Xenopus tropicalis: one gene and its partner. The protein of the gene in region 2 purifies or fractionates together with the protein of the main gene of each other region. This does not show direct contact. Links are inferred from orthologs where the notes say so. Each region holds a gene or a part of one and is shown on either strand. Other genes may lie near its edges.

The links. Proteins that work in one complex are often made in the same cells at the same time.
Region 1: the proteins of ppp1cc (region 2) and pfdn2 purify together in Homo sapiens (affinity purification with mass spectrometry; 4 studies listed by BioGRID and IntAct, with this or other methods). This does not show direct contact. The link is inferred for Xenopus tropicalis from reciprocal best matches to the Homo sapiens genes PPP1CC and PFDN2.

The regions. Positions count from the first base shown.
Region 1 is NC_030684.2:143,078,001-143,086,127, forward strand, and holds pfdn2 (prefoldin subunit 2), read right to left. Parts: upstream 4,946-8,127; 5' UTR 4,943-4,945; coding exon 4,904-4,942; intron 3,287-4,903; coding exon 3,198-3,286; intron 3,036-3,197; coding exon 2,912-3,035; intron 1,812-2,911; coding exon 1,632-1,811; 3' UTR 772-1,631; downstream 1-771. Other genes in the region: nit1 (deaminated glutathione amidase), read left to right, coding at 6,948-7,180, 7,282-7,385, 7,994-8,127. UniProt on the Homo sapiens protein: Binds specifically to cytosolic chaperonin (c-CPN) and transfers target proteins to it. Binds to nascent polypeptide chain and promotes folding in an environment in which there are many competing pathways for nonnative proteins.
Region 2 is NC_030677.2:162,944,009-162,951,492, forward strand, and holds part of ppp1cc (serine/threonine-protein phosphatase PP1-gamma catalytic subunit), read right to left. Parts: intron 5,256-7,484; coding exon 5,025-5,255; intron 3,838-5,024; coding exon 3,733-3,837; intron 1,621-3,732; coding exon 1,397-1,620; intron 1,105-1,396; coding exon 970-1,104; intron 1-969. UniProt on the Homo sapiens protein: Protein phosphatase that associates with over 200 regulatory proteins to form highly specific holoenzymes which dephosphorylate hundreds of biological targets.

The DNA of each region.
Region 1 (8,127 bases), on a different chromosome or scaffold from region 2:
CGTAGCTCCGCTGTACCCCTCCCTACATACAGCAGCCCCGTGCAGTTAATATACCCACACCCCCCAGCCATACAGAGCAGCCGCTACAGGAGTGGTAACAAGCATACTAATGGAAATATTGTTGTGAGGCTTTACTTACCCTTTACACACATAGTTGTTTCCAATAAGCAAACAGTGTATTGTACATCACAAATAACAAACACAGCCCGATGTTTGTCTCCCCATCGGGGCCCCAATTATTCTCTATAAATGCACAGCAATGGCTGCCCTACTGGTCTGAGACAATGAAAGCCAGAAGCCGATTGGTCACTTGATTTCCCCCATTAGCAACAAATCCTCTACTATAATTTCATATTAAATCTGGCCTAACTTCTGCACCCCTTTATCCTAATTGCAGCCTCGTTTTCCTTGTGTTATAGGGACCACCCCCCAGTTGGTTAGGCACCCCCCCCCCCCAGTTGGTTAGGCACCACCCCCCCCCCAGTTGGTTAGGCACCACCCCCCCAGTTGGATAGGGACCCTCCCCCCCAGTTGGATAGGGACCCTCCCCCCCAGTTGGATAGGGACCACCCCCCAGTTGGATAGGGACCACCCCCCAGTTGGATAGGGACCCCCCCCAGTTGGATAGGGACCCCCCCCCCCCCTGTCTGTCCCTGTGAGACACCCAAGGAGCCTTGCTGGGTGCCGCCTGTATCTGACAGTGGAAATGTTCAAGGTAAAATAAACCCGTTAAGTTAAAATAAATAAAAACCTTGGGACACGCCCCCAAAATAATGAACATGCAAATAAAGTTTAATAACTTGAAAAAAAAAAAAAAAAAAAAAACATTAGACAGTAGGTATCCCACAAGCCTTTGCAGGATAAGACTTGAGCCTACTTTCCTAAGGGTAAGCTGATTTAATTTCCCCAATACTCAGACAGGGAACTCTGATCATCTATACTGCTATTGGGCTGCTCTCTTTCCCATGGTGAGGGGGTGTGGCCTGCACATAACTGACAGGGTCAGACCTGCACTACAATTACTACATAGATATCATGCAATAGAGGACCCACCCACTAAAGACTTCTCAGTTGGGTTAAAGCCCCACCCCCCTGTTTGACCATGGGAAAGAGAGCAGCCCATAGGGGGAAATTAGATTCACTTACCCAGGGAACATGGAGACTGAAGCTTAATGAAATGTCCCAGGGGACTTGTCCTAATAATGACATACGGCCTATATGCACTATAAACGCCAATGCCAGGGGGTGGAGCCCTCCAGTTTGTTTGCACTACAACTCCCATCATCCCTGAGCTTTCAGCTTAATATGGAGTTGTGGTTCCAAACAGCTGTTAGAGCAGACCCCATCCCTGGGGTAAGGGGGTGGAACTAACATGACTGCAGAACGACTGGGACAAACTGGGAATTGGGTGGTGCCCGGACTAATAAGGCATCGCATGAAGCCCCGGGCAACTGCGGGGGCAAACGGTAGCCCAACTGCTGAAGTGCCCATAATGCATAAAGTCCACCAGAAGTCTCCTCGGGCCTAAGAGCATGAACTGGGAAAGGAAGGGGGGGTCTGTGCATGGTTGCGTCCAATCAGACAGGAGCCTGAGCTCACTCTGGGCAGACCGGGCACGGGCACGCTCTGTATCAGGACACAAGGACACCTGCAGAGCTGGGCTTGGAGCCGTCACTGTCCCCGCCCTCCTTGGGGGGCTGCTTGGCCTCATCCTCCCCCATGATCCGGATGTTGTGCTTCTCCCGGAACTCATTCAGCTCTCGGCCCTTGGTCTGTAGCTGTGTGCTCAGGGACTCCAGGATCTTGTTAATCTGCAGAGAGATGAGACGTGGGGGTTACGCTCAGAACTGGGGGGGGGGGGGGGGCAGCTACATGCCAGGGCCACCCAGTATCACCCAATGTAGCTCAGAATGGCAGGGCAAGAGCTGAATGCAACTGCCCAGGGCAGCCAATCACTTGTGTTTCATGTCTGTAGCCACACCCTAGCCAGTGTCAAGCTCCGCCCTCCCCAACTAACATTTACTTGGTCTTGAATGCTTTGATAAGGGGTAATTATATCTTAGGGCTGTTCTGCCCCAATAAGGGGTAATTATATCTTAGTTGGGATCAAGTACAGGTACTGTTTTATTATTACAGAGAAAAGGGAATCATTTAACCATTAAATAAACCCAATAGGGCTGTTCTGCCCCCAATAAGGGGTAATTATATCTTAGTTGGGATCAAGTACAGGTACTGTTTTATTATTACAGAGAAAAGGGAATCATTTAACCATGAAATAAACCCAATAGGGCTGTTCTGCCCCAATAAGGGGTAATTATATCTTAGTTGGGATCAAGTACAGGTACTGTTTTATTATTACAGAGAAAAGGGAATCATTTAACCATGAAATAAACCCAATAGGGCTGTTCTGCCCCAATAAGGGGTAATTATATCTTAGTTGGGATCAAGTACAGGTACTGTTTTATTATTACAGAGAAAAGGGAATCATTTAACCATTAAACCCAATAGGGCTGTTCTGCCCCAATAAGGGGTAATTATATCTTAGTTGGGATCAAGTACAGGTACTGTTTTATTATTACAGAGAAAAGGGAATCATTTAACCATGAAATAAACCCAATAGGGCTGTTCTGCCCCCAATAAGGGGTAATTATATCTTAGTTGGGATCAAGTACAGGTACTGTTTTATTATTACAGAGAAAAGGGAATCATTTAACCATTAAATAAACCCAATAGGACTGTTCTGCCCCAATAAGGGGTAATTATATCTTAGTTGGGATCAAGTACAGGTACTGTTTTATTATTACAGAGAAAAGGGAATCATTTAACCATTAAATAAACCCAATAGGGCTGTTCTGCCCCCAATAAAGGTTAATATGCCCTTTAATTAGGTGCCCACAAGGCAGAGCCTTACCTGCTCTTTATTATTCTCCAAAGCCGGAAGCACTTCCTTCACGGTGCGTTCCACCAGTACCCCCCCGACCATCCGGAAACACTTCCTGCCCTGCTCCACTTCCTTCAGGGTGTCGATAACCAACCTGCGGAGCGAGGGAGACGACTGTCAGTTAGTTAGGGAGATCTGCACTGGTTCCGACTACAGAACAAATGTAGCGTGCAACAGAGAGGAATAACGACCCTCGGGGAGAATCACATTGAAGGATTCTTCATTGCTGAACGACCTGTTTGCTAATGAGACTCACGTGTGTTCGTTAAGCTCCATCTCCAGTTCCGCTGCCTTGGACGCGAGACCTCGCTGCTCCTGGCGCAGGCGATTAAATCCAGCCACCACCTGTAGCAACAAACACAGAACGTACATATTAAACAAGGGTATTTGGCTTAACTTTCCCTTTAATGGCAACTCTTAAACAATGTGGGCAAACAGATCAGCCCAGCATTGGCTCATCTTCTTACAGGGGCCTATGGGGTCCAATATCCAGAAACCCTTTATCCATAATGTTCCATAGACTTCTTTTTTAATCACGTTAAAAAGTTATTTCCCTTTTCTCTGTAATAATAAAACAGTACCTGTACTTGATCCCAACTAAGATATAATTACCCCTTATTGGGGGCAGAACAGCCCTATTGGGTTTATTTCATGGTTAAATGATTCCCTTTTCTCTGTAATAATAAAACAGTACCTGTACTTGATCCCAACTAAGATATAATTACCCCTTATTGGGGCAGAACAGCCCTATTGGGTTTATTTAATGGTTAAACAATTCCCTTTTCTCTGTAATAATAAAACAGTACCTGTACTTGATCCCAACTTAGATATAATTACCCCTTATTGGGGGCAGAACAGCCCTATTGGGTTTATTTAATGGTTAAATGATTCCCTTTTCTCTGTAATAATAAAACAGTACCTGTACTTGATCCCAACTAAGATATAATTACCCCTTATTGGGGGCAGAACAGCCCTATTGGGTTTATTTAATGGTTAAATGATTCCCTTTTCTCTGTAATAATAAAACAGTACCTGTACTTGATCCCAACTAAGATATAATTACCCCTTATTGGGGCAGAACAGCCCTATTGGGTTTATTTCATGGTTAAATGATTCCCTTTTCTCTGTAATAATAAAACAGTACCTGTACTTGATCCCAACTAAGATATAATTACCCCTTATTGGGGCAGAACAGCCCTATTGGGTTTATTTAATGGTTAAATGATTCCCTTTTCTCTGTAATAATAAAACAGTACCTGTACTTGATCCCAACTAAGATATAATTACCCCTTATTGGGGGCAGAACAGCCCTATTGGGTTTATTTCATGGTTAAATGATTCCCTTTTCTCTGTAATAATAAAACAGTACCTGTACTTGATCCCAACTAAGATATAATTACCCCTTATTGGGGCAGAACAGCCCTATTGGGTTTATTTAATGGTTAAATGATTCCCTTTTCTCTGTAATAATAAAACAGTACCTGTACTTGATCCCAACTAAGATATAATTACCCCTTATTGGGGCAGAACAGCCCTATTGGGTTTATTTAATGGTTAAATGATTCCCTTTTCTCTGTAATAATAAAACACTAAGGTGCCCCAGTCCCATTGTTGAACCCCCTTCCAACTGAGGGATTATGGGATATCACTAACAGCTCAGTACCATAGCAACACTGCTACCAAGCTGGCTAGCAACAGTTTCTAGGAAGCAGAAGAGCCGGCTGCTCCTGGGCTGCTGTGGGAAGGCTATCAGGGATCCCAATAGGGAATGAATCTGAGTAAATGCCCAAGGAAGCCTGTTCCCACTGAGCTTATAATAGCACATGTGTCTATATAAGGGAATGAATGGCCATAATGAAAAAAGGGCTTTGGGCTTAGTTGCCCTTTAAACGGCCGGTTGGGGGGGGGGGGTACCGGCCGGGCAGACCCCCCAGCAGCCATTATGCCCACCATGCCCAGTACCTGCTCGGCCGCCACCTGCTTCGCTGCATTAGACGCCATCACGCTTCTCTCTCGCACTGCGCACCTTCTCCGCGCAGCGGAAGTCTATGCGTTCCGACGCCACTTCCGCCCGGGAAGTCCTGGCGGCGCCATGTTGAGAGAGGGAAAAGCATGACTGGAAGCGCCTGGTTGGTGGGGCGCATAAGCCGCGTCATAGTCGGGCCGTAGTAAGTGACGTCAACACATTGTGACAGCTGAGGCCTCCTGGGAAAGTGTGTGTGTCAGATATATCGCCGCTTCTTTATAGCCCGTGCGGGGGGGCTGCGTAATGCGATTGGCTAATGGGGTGTCCGGAAGTCTCTAAACTACAGATCCCAGAATGCTCAGCCAAAGCCCGGGGAGCTGACGTTAGCCTCCTGTTGTCATGTGACTACTCCCTAGTGCGCCTGTTATTGGTCAGCCACCATTTCTGGGGTTTCTCTGCCCAGATGCAGGTTAAATAAACATATATAACTACACTAGAGAATAACAAGTCAAATGGGGTTCATCTTGGGGTTCCCAGCTCATTCCCTATCTTGGTAAAGAGATTAAAGGGAAAGTAAAGTCTTAGCACTTAGTGTCTTGGACTAAATCTCCCAATCCTGTTTCCCATTTATTTCTTTATAGTTTTTAAATAAATTCTTCTTCTGCCTCTTTGCAGCTTTCAAATGGGGGTCACTGACCCCGGCAGCCAAACCCTATTGCTCTGTGAGGCTCCAGTTTTATTGTTATTGTTACTTTTTATTCCTTATCTTTCTATTCAGCCCCTCCCCTATTTATATACCCGCCTCTCATTCAAATCACTCCCTGGTTGCTAAGGTAATTTGAGCCCTAGCAACAGTATAACTGACCCCGGCAGCCAAACCCTATTGCTCTTTGAGGCTCCAGTTTTATTGTTACTTTTTATTCCTTATCTTTCTATTCAGCCCCTCCCCTATTTATATACCCGCCTCTCATTCAAATCACTCCCTGGTTGCTAAGGTAATTTGAGCCCTAGCAACAGTATAACTGACCCCGGCAGCCAAACCCTATTGCTCTGTGAGGCTCCAGTTTTATTGTTATTGTTACTTTTTATTCCTTATCTCTCTATTCAGCCCCTCCCCTATTCATATACCCGCCTCTCATTCAAATCACTCCCTGGTTGCTAAGGTAATTTGAGCCCTAGCAACAGTATAACTGACCCTGGCAGCCAAACCCTATTGCTCTGTGAGGCTCCAGTTTATTGTTATTGTTACTTTTTATTCCTTATCTTTCTATTCAGCCCCTCCCCTATTCATATGCCAGCCTCTCATTCAAATCACTCCCTGGTTGCTAAGGTAATTTGAGCCCTAGCAACAGTATAACTGACCCCGGCAGCCAAACCCTATTGCTCTGTGAGGCTCCAGTTTTATTGTTACTTTTTATTCCTTATCTTTCTATTCAGCCCCTCCCCTATTCATATACCAGTCTCTCATTCAATCCACTCCCTGGTTGCTAAGGTAATTTGAGCCCTAGCAACAGGAGAACTGACCCGTTTTATTGTTACTGTTACTTTATATCAATTACCTATCTATTCAGCCCCTCTCCTATTCATATTCCCTTCTCTCGTTCGAATCAAAGCCTGGTTGCTAGGGTACTTTGCACCCTAGCAACCAGGCAACTGAAACATGAAACCCAAATTCTTTTTTTTAATGAAATCATCCATACTTGTTATAAATGTATTTAAAAATCTGAGCTGTCAATCATATATTGCCTATATATCTATGCCTTCGGCATAGAGGCGGGGCAGGCAATATATGATTGACAGCTCAGATTTTTTCAATTACAATGACTTTTACTTTCCATTCAGCACTTCCTAGATATCACCACAGTGGGGCTGATTATCTGTCAGGCACCCCAGTGACTGGCCGGGGGGTAAATTACCTGCAGAGCTCACTGCCACCATTGCCTAGGTACCTCCCTTTGAGTGGGAGGGATTACGACTGTTCTGATTGGACTAAATCCCCCAATCATGTTTCCCATTTACAGGGTTAGACGACTGAGCGCCATGGCGAGTGCTGCCAAGCCCCTGATTGCGGTGTGCCAGATGACTTCTACGTCCGACAAGGAGAAGAATTTCGCCACGTGTTGGGGGCTGATCCGGGGGGCTGCGGCGCGGGGGGCCTGCATGGTGTTCCTGCCGGAAGCCTTTGACTATATTGGGGGCAACGCCGAGGAGACGCTGAGCCTGGCCGAGACCCTCCATGGGGACACTATCCAGCGTTACTCCCAGCTTGCCAGGTGGGTATGTGCCGATGCCCCGGGGATGGGGTGCAACCCCCCAGCTTTGCCCTATACAGTGTATATTCCTAACCCCCCCCCGTATCGCTGCTTTATACCAGGGAGTGCGGCCTTTGGCTTTCCCTGGGGGGATTCCACGAGAAAGGACCCAACTGGGACACGGACCGACGCATTTCCAATTCTCACGTGGTCTTGGACAATACAGGTAGGGCCACTGCACTTACAGCACAGTATTCTGGGGAAATGGGGGCGGAGAGAATTTAGCCACACCCACTCTTTCCTCTCCGGGTTCAGTAATGTTGCAGAAAGGTTCTGTCCCTCAACGTCCGTGTGTAAGGGGCTCATTGGCACAGCTGGTCTGTTATAGAATGGCCAATTCTAAGCAACTTTTCAATTGGTCTTCATTACTTATTTCGTAGAGTTTTCGAATTATTTTCCTTCTTCTTCTGCCTCTTTGCAGCTTTCAAATGGGGGTCACTGACCCCGGCAGCCAAACCCTATTGCTCTGTGAGGCTCCAGTTTTATTGTTATTGTTACTTTTTATTCCTTATCTTTCTATTCAGCCCCTCCCCTATTCATATACCCGCCTCTCATCCAAACCGCTCCCTGGTTACTACGGTCATTTGGACCCTAGTAACAAGATAGCTGTTATAACTCCAAACTGCAGAGCTGCTGAACAATTATTGAATTATTTAAAAAAACGGCAAGTAATAAAAAATGAAGACCAATTGCAAATTGTCTCAGAATATCCCTCTCTGCTCTCTATTAAAAGTTAAGTCAAAGCTGAGCATTTCCCATGTTCCTCTGACACAGGGCACATAGTATCCGTGTACCGCAAGGCTCACCTGTTTGACGTGGACTTACAGAACGGAGTGTCACTCAGGGAGAGCAGTTTCACCCTGCCCGGAGCGGAGATTATTCGCCCAATCAGCTCTCCAGCAGGAAAG
Region 2 (7,484 bases):
GATTTCATAGTGTATCATGGCATTAATGGTGTATTTTAATTAAATTTTTTTTTTAAATGGCAAAATAAAGCTAAAAGGGGATTTGCTAGCCTAAGAAAATAATTTAAAAAAAAAAAAAAGTAGGCAGGTGCCATTTTGTGGGCACTGTTATTAGGCAAGTTGTGTATTTGTGTAATACTGAATGAAAAGTAACTGTCCTGCTTCTATACCTGAGGCAGATAGCAGGGAAAAGCAATATATGATTGAGAACATTTGCATGCAAGTCTGCATGTACAATGTATAACCCCATTTACTGTATAGAGCTGTAGAATGTTGGTGCGTATTTATAAAAAAAAAAAAAAAAAAAAAAAAAACAACTTTCCATATGCATTTTAGTATATACAGAATAGCTTCAGATGATCATATCCCAAGCACTTCTGGTATTTCAGGAAAAACCTCTGCTGCAGTACCCAGGTTATTAAAGATCATACAGCCATCTGAAAGTCCATAACAAACATGCTAAAATTGTGTACCTCCAGGTGTGTGTGCTGGTAAGGACCAAGATATTGCAAAACCTATGCACAGGGACATTTACAGGCCAGTCACAAACTTTCCCTTCCTACTTACAAGGGAATTATTAACACAGTGAGACATGTGGAATGTCACTGCTTGGCACAGCAAGACATGTATTTTATTTATAGGCACCTGAGGGCATGTGCTTAAGGCAACACAATACTTACTGTAACAGTCAAGAAAAAATATAAAAAAAATATATATTATAGGCAAGCAGAAACTTCCACAAGAACAGGACAACTACAACGCGGTCATTCGCCTGATGTATAACCCACATCATCCACTGGGCCAACTACAGGACCGAGCCAAAAAGGTCTCCAATTAGGAAGTAGCTAGCTACAGGGCATAGGCTTTCTTCCACTGCTATTACACTTTTTTTCCATGTTGAAAGTGAATTAAAAATATACCCAATCTTACCTGGAAGGAACACATTAACGTTTCATCTACACTCATCATTGCTCCAGCATTATCAAATTCTCCACAATAGTTTGGGGCTGAGAACAAAGTAACCAGTTGTCTCTTGGCAAAAAATTCATACCCATCTTCAACCACCTGAAAAAGAAAAAGCGCCATTAATTTAGGGTTCCAAACAAATGTTACATTAGGCAGAACAAAAACCCAAAGCCTGTTTTGCGTATTTCACTTTTCAGAAACAGTACAAGTCAGAACTTACAGCTCAAGTTAGCAGCATGTTGTATATGAAAGCAAAATGGAATGTTTTTAGCCAACAGACTGTACTGAAAAACATACAAGGTGGTTTTACCATAAGTGATCCTGTGATACGCAATACACTAACCCACTTTTGTTACAGGTAGACAAAACACACAATTAGTTTACAATATACCTGATGAGCTCGGCAAATGAGATCCAGATCATGTTTGTGTAGAAATTTTGCAACCACTTCAGCTCCAAAAGTAAAAGATACACCTCTGTCATTTTCACCCCACCCTAGGACATCTTTGTCAGGATCAGACCAAAGTAAGTCACACAGAAGACCCTGGTCTGGAACGTCAGTAGGACGCATAATTCGTCGGATCTGCTCCATCGACTGAAGGTCTGGAGACAAACCTATAAAATAAAGTCACATGTTAGTATAAGATTGCTAGATATTTAAAGACAAAATACACTTGTAACTAGACCAAACCACTCCTACCCTTTTTCATTAATGCTGGGATTCAGCTGGAGAATAAAAAGCCTGCTGTGATTACAGGCTAGGTAACAAGTTGGGGCAGTTAACTTTGATCAGACTGAGCTGCAATATGGCACATCATTGACAGCATAACAATATGAATACTATGTATAAAAAGTAAATGCAAAACTTGCAAAAATGGTGTTACAGTTCCTAAAAATTTTTTTCAGTGCAGTCTGTCTAAACCAGGGCTGTGGAGTCGGTAGATAAATTCTCCGACTCCTCAGTTTGATACTTCCGACTCCGACTCCTCTGTATTTAATATGCTAATGTATTTTATACATTCATACAGTCAATGAAAAGCTTCATGGTCACTCAACGTGTTTATGCACTGCGTGCATTGGGCTTTATTCTTATAGCAGAGAAGTAATTAATTATGACTGTTTGTGAATTGGGACATTTAAACTTGCTTTATTTATTAAATTAAATTATTTTATTAAATTTTAAATTTATTAAATTTAGTCTGAGTCGGTTCATTTTTTGCCGACTCTGACTCCAGGTACCCAAAATTGCCTCCGACTCCACAGCCCTGGTCTAAACTGCAATTGAATGAAGCAGGGATACAAACATAATACAGACTTAGATGCTAGAATATAAGGAGTCCAAGCACTGGCAGCCTTCAATTTACATTATACTTGAGGATTAGACACCTACCGCAGGCTCATATGCACAGCAGCAAATATAACCACCGCTGACTGGTATAATTCCCACATGATCTGGTTATGAGAGACATTACCTAACACTTCATTCAACTGCAAATCACTTCGGTATGTAATGATTTGTGCAGTTTAACTCCATTCTTGCTAAAAGCATCAGTCAAGCCCAACTCCCACCAGCAACAAAGTTCATTTTTAGAATTCTTAGCAAGGCAATGTTGCAGGTGAACCTTTTCTAATCAAGGCTACCAAAGCTGCTGGTACTAAGATATCCAGCAATAATTACCAATATACAGTCCCAGATCCCCTTTACATAACCTGTATATGTTTGTGAAAGGAAACCATTCACCAAACTAAATACACATTCAGTTGGAAATGTTTTCATTAAATTAACCCTTAATAAAGCGTTCGAAGCATATATGAATATGTATCTGGGTTGCAGGTTTTAAACACCTTAGAGGACCAGCTCTATCTTTCAGATTTATTACATTCACTGTTTCATCAAAAGTACGGTTATAAAAATGCTTCCGGTTGTACACTCCCAATAAGGTAAAACACACAATCTGCAAGACCCAAGGTGCGGCGCTGCACTTCCAGACAAACCTACTAAAATCGGAAGCTGGTTGCTGTGGCTCTAAAGCAGATTTTTCAGCTTGCCTTTAATTTAGGTATGTGTGGCAGGGTTACTTCCTTAGCATAAATTATTTATGACTGTTTACAACTGGAGTATTATATAGTGATGGAGTATTATATAGTGATGGAGTATTATATAGTGATTGAGTATTATATAGTGAATAATGTACCCCCTGTTGTAAAATATAGGTGTTTCATGACCATATAGAAGTACGAGGACAAAGTCACAGAACTCCAAGGCGACTTCTAATATCTTCATATTTTACAACAGGGGGTATATTATTTATTATAATACACAAGTTTCATTAAGTCACCTGACAAATTACATCACAAAGCACTTTTTATAATGGATGACATCACTAAGCTCCATTTATAAAGATGTAATACACAAGCCATGAATATCCTGTAAATTATAATTATTTTGATAAAGATTTTAACATGAATCTTTTAGCATGATAGAGCAATTATTGGAGCTGGGTAGAGTGGATCGTTTACTTTAAACAATTTTGAAAACCTTTAAAATGGGCTCCTTGACTGGCAAGCTAACAAAAATGGGAGCAAAGGACACCACACAGAATGTATATGCCTTTGGGATGGAAGAGCACTGAGCCGTATACAAGCAATAGGGATATACATAAAGATCTAAAACATAACTGACGTGACATTTTAAAGAAACCTGCAAAATTCCAAACAGTTCGTTACCTCCATGACAGCAAAATATCTTCTCGTCAACTATAGCAGCTATTGGCAAACAATTAAAGCAATCTGTGAATGTTTTCCATAACTTTATATTATATCTTCTTTTACCTGTGTATAAATAAAAAAAAAAAAATACAACTGTCAAAAAACACCACAAAACAAAAAAACTGCACACAGATAATAGTACTGCCCACATGCATAAGTCTGTACTTAGTCTGCTTGTGTACCACAAGCAGCTCAACTACAGATCTCTGAGATACTTCCTAGTCTAGCATGGAGTCCCACCCCTTTTCTTTGCAGAGATCTTTTTTTAGCGGTAAAGATGGTCTAAGAGGTGTCTGCTCCAATGGAAATCAGGCATGTACAGTAGACACCTCTTCGACCATCTTCACCGTTAAAAAGGAGAGGTCAGCAAAGAAAAGGGGTGGGGCTTTACGCTAGACTAGGCAGCAGCTGAGAGCTGATGTTGAGCGGATTGAGATACAGAATCTACATCAGGGATCCCCAACCTTTCTTATTCGTGAGCCACAGTCAAATGTAAAAAGACTTGGAGAGCAACACAAGCATCATAAAAGTTCATAGAGGAGCCAAATAAGGGCTACGATTGGCTATTAGGCAGCCTATATGCACACTATCAGCTTACAGGAGGCTTTATTTGATAATAAATCTTGTTTTTATTTATTCAACCAAAACTCCCCCAAGTCAGGAATTCAAAATAACTACCTGCGCGCAGGCCTGGCAATTAAGCATTCACTCGCACCTTTATATGCGCAACGTGTTCTTCCGCGTGTCCATCTGCGCCTTTATATGTGCAGGGTGATCCGTGCTGCGCTTTCCTCCCCCGGCGCATTCATTTAATTTGCGGTGAATATGCTGTGTACGCATATGCATTGCGCCTATAAAGACGTGACTCTTTTCTACGTGCCTTTTTTCAGGCGGTGCTTCATGCACACAGCATATTCACAGAGACGGCCCACTAAAACGCAGACCGGCGGTTGGGGACCCCTGATTTAAGAGACTAGTTGTAGGGGTAAAAAAAAAAAAAAAAACACACACACACACACACACACACACACACAACATGACACCAAATACCAAATAATTGTTCAGCAGCTCTCTACACTCAAATCTAAAAATTTTAATAAAATGACATGTTGCAAATTGTCCTAAAATAGCACACACTTTGTCTAAGATTTTGTTAACTAGAACTACCCCATTAAATATTTTTTAGCTTTTAAATATGAATTTGCCAACATCCTATCCCAAGTGAAACAGAATAAAACATAGGTACTTACACTCATCATAAAAGCCATAGATTCTGTTAATGCTGGCACATTCATGATTGCCTCTGAGGAGGAAGAAGTTCTCTGGATATTTGATTTTATATGCCAAAAGAAGACAGATCGTTTCTAAAGACTGCTTCCCTCTGTCCACATAGTCTCCTAGGAACAGGTAGTTGCTTTCAGGTGGGAAACCACCATATTCAAATAATCGCAGTAAGTCATAGTACTGGCCATGAATATCGCCTATGGAGAAAATACATCAAACATTTTTAAAAGCCTACAATAAACCCATACATGTAACATACACATCCAAAGGGCAGATATAAAGGATATATATGTGATGTAAGCATTTGCTGCTGATAAATTCAGTTACTTTCAACATAGTATGAGCCCTTCCTAAAGTGTTTTTTTTTTTTTTTTTTTTAATAAGCCAGTCTACACATTGGAAGTAGCCAAGCATTACCTCTAACAGTTATCAGACCTCTATTATTCAGATAGAGGATCTATGATCTGCCAAACTTGAAATTGGGTTTTGTGGATAAGGGGGTCTTTATCATGTGGGCCACCATAGCATAAAGCTAACCTAATAAAGTACAAGGTTGTTAGGGTGTGGGTACTTACAGCATTTTTTAAAGATCAGGAGCTGGCAGTTGTTGGAAGATAAATTTATTTCCAGAGCGAAAAATCAAAACAAAACCGTCTTTGCTAACTTTTCACAGAAAGCACAGTTCCAACTCCAGAATAAAACACCGCACATTCAGTTACCTCTTTTCAGGCAGCTTCCCTATACTCTGAGATCTGGAGTTCTAATGTATGTTACTTAAGTATGTGAGTTTGCCTTTCCCAGCAGCCCATGCTCTTAAAGGAGAAGGAAAGGCTAGTAAAGAGTTAATCTCAAGCTGCAGGCATACCTTCAGTTCTCTCAATAGTGCCCTTAAGTCTCCCCATATTTGTCCTGTACAGATGATCAGAAGCCAAACAGGAAGAAAAAACGCTGAGCTGTGTAAAGAAAGTTCCCATAATGCTTCACTCCTGCACAGACACCCAGACCAAGTGAACATGCTCAGTTAGACTGAGTCAGCTTCCTACTGATTGGCTGAAATCCACATTCCTAAGGGGGGGGGGGGGGAGGAGGGAGTTCTTAGCATTCTTAAGGGAGGGGGGGCAGGAGAGGGGAGACAGCAGAAGGCTGCGTGTCTCTGGCACAGGAATTAGACACAAGAAATCTTTTCACAGAGAAGTCAGTGCAGCGTTTCTGCGAGTGCTTATGGCTGTATTTACATAGACCTTTCTGATAAAGCTAACTTAGTTTTTACCTTTCCTTCTCCTTTAAAGGCACATTTAGTTACAACAAAACAAACTATTAACAAAAAAAATGTATATAAATATAACTTTTGCTTTCTATTGCTCTATAAGCTTAGAATCTTATTAATAGAAAAAAAAACAGGCACAACAATGTCATTAGCATATAAGAGAAACATTTTGTTTAGAGGAGACTTGCTGCAGGTTTTACCAATTGCCAATTAAGCTCAGTGCATGTCTCCTGCTCACATTGTATTGAATGGAAACAGACACACATGGCAAGTACTATTTTTGGCGATTTTTGTAATGCTGGGTAAAACAGATAGCATAGTTTATTATTTTGTCTGCAGAGAAATAAAGTGGACAGAAAAAAAGGTTTGCTGGCCAGCAATAGAGAAGGGGGGAAAAACATTTTATACCAAACATAAAGGCAGACAAAATAAATCACTGTGCAACAAAAGGTACGGTTATTTATTACAGAGAAAATAAAAATTGTAATTTGCTTAAGGGCTGTGGCACACGGAGAGATAAGTCGCCGTTCGACAAATCTCCCTTGTCGCGGGTGACTAATCTCCCCGAAATGCCATCCAACCGGCAATTTACATTCTAGCTGGTGGGATGGCATATCAGGGAGATTAGTCGCCCGTGACAAGGGATATTTGTCGCGGGCAACTAATCTCCCCGTCTGTCACAGCCCTAAGGGTGAAGACACATGGGGCAACTAGTAGCAGCTAATTGCTGTGGCTACTAAAATAGACAATGTTGATGTTTTACTGATAATTGTCTCTACATATGTTTTAGCAGTGGTAATTCTCAGTATTGTCTATGGCAGGGTATTTTCTGGTGTTTAGTAGCCATGAAAAAGTAGTTGCTACTAGTAGCTCTGTGTATCTTCACCCTAAAATGGACTTGGAGATGGTCTTCCCATAGATTAGAGCTTTCTAGATAATGGATTTCCAAATGAGGAATCCCAAATCTGTACTTTATCAAACATCTGTTGGTACAGAGGAGCTTCAGTTCATCTCACAGGTTCAGATGGCATATACAAGAACACACAAAATGGTTGGTTAGGCCCCCTTTGCCAACAAGACTAAAAAGGTAAATACATTTACTGTTTGTAACTGAGCCAACCATTTCTTGAAAAAAGATTTACCATTTAGGGATGAGTAA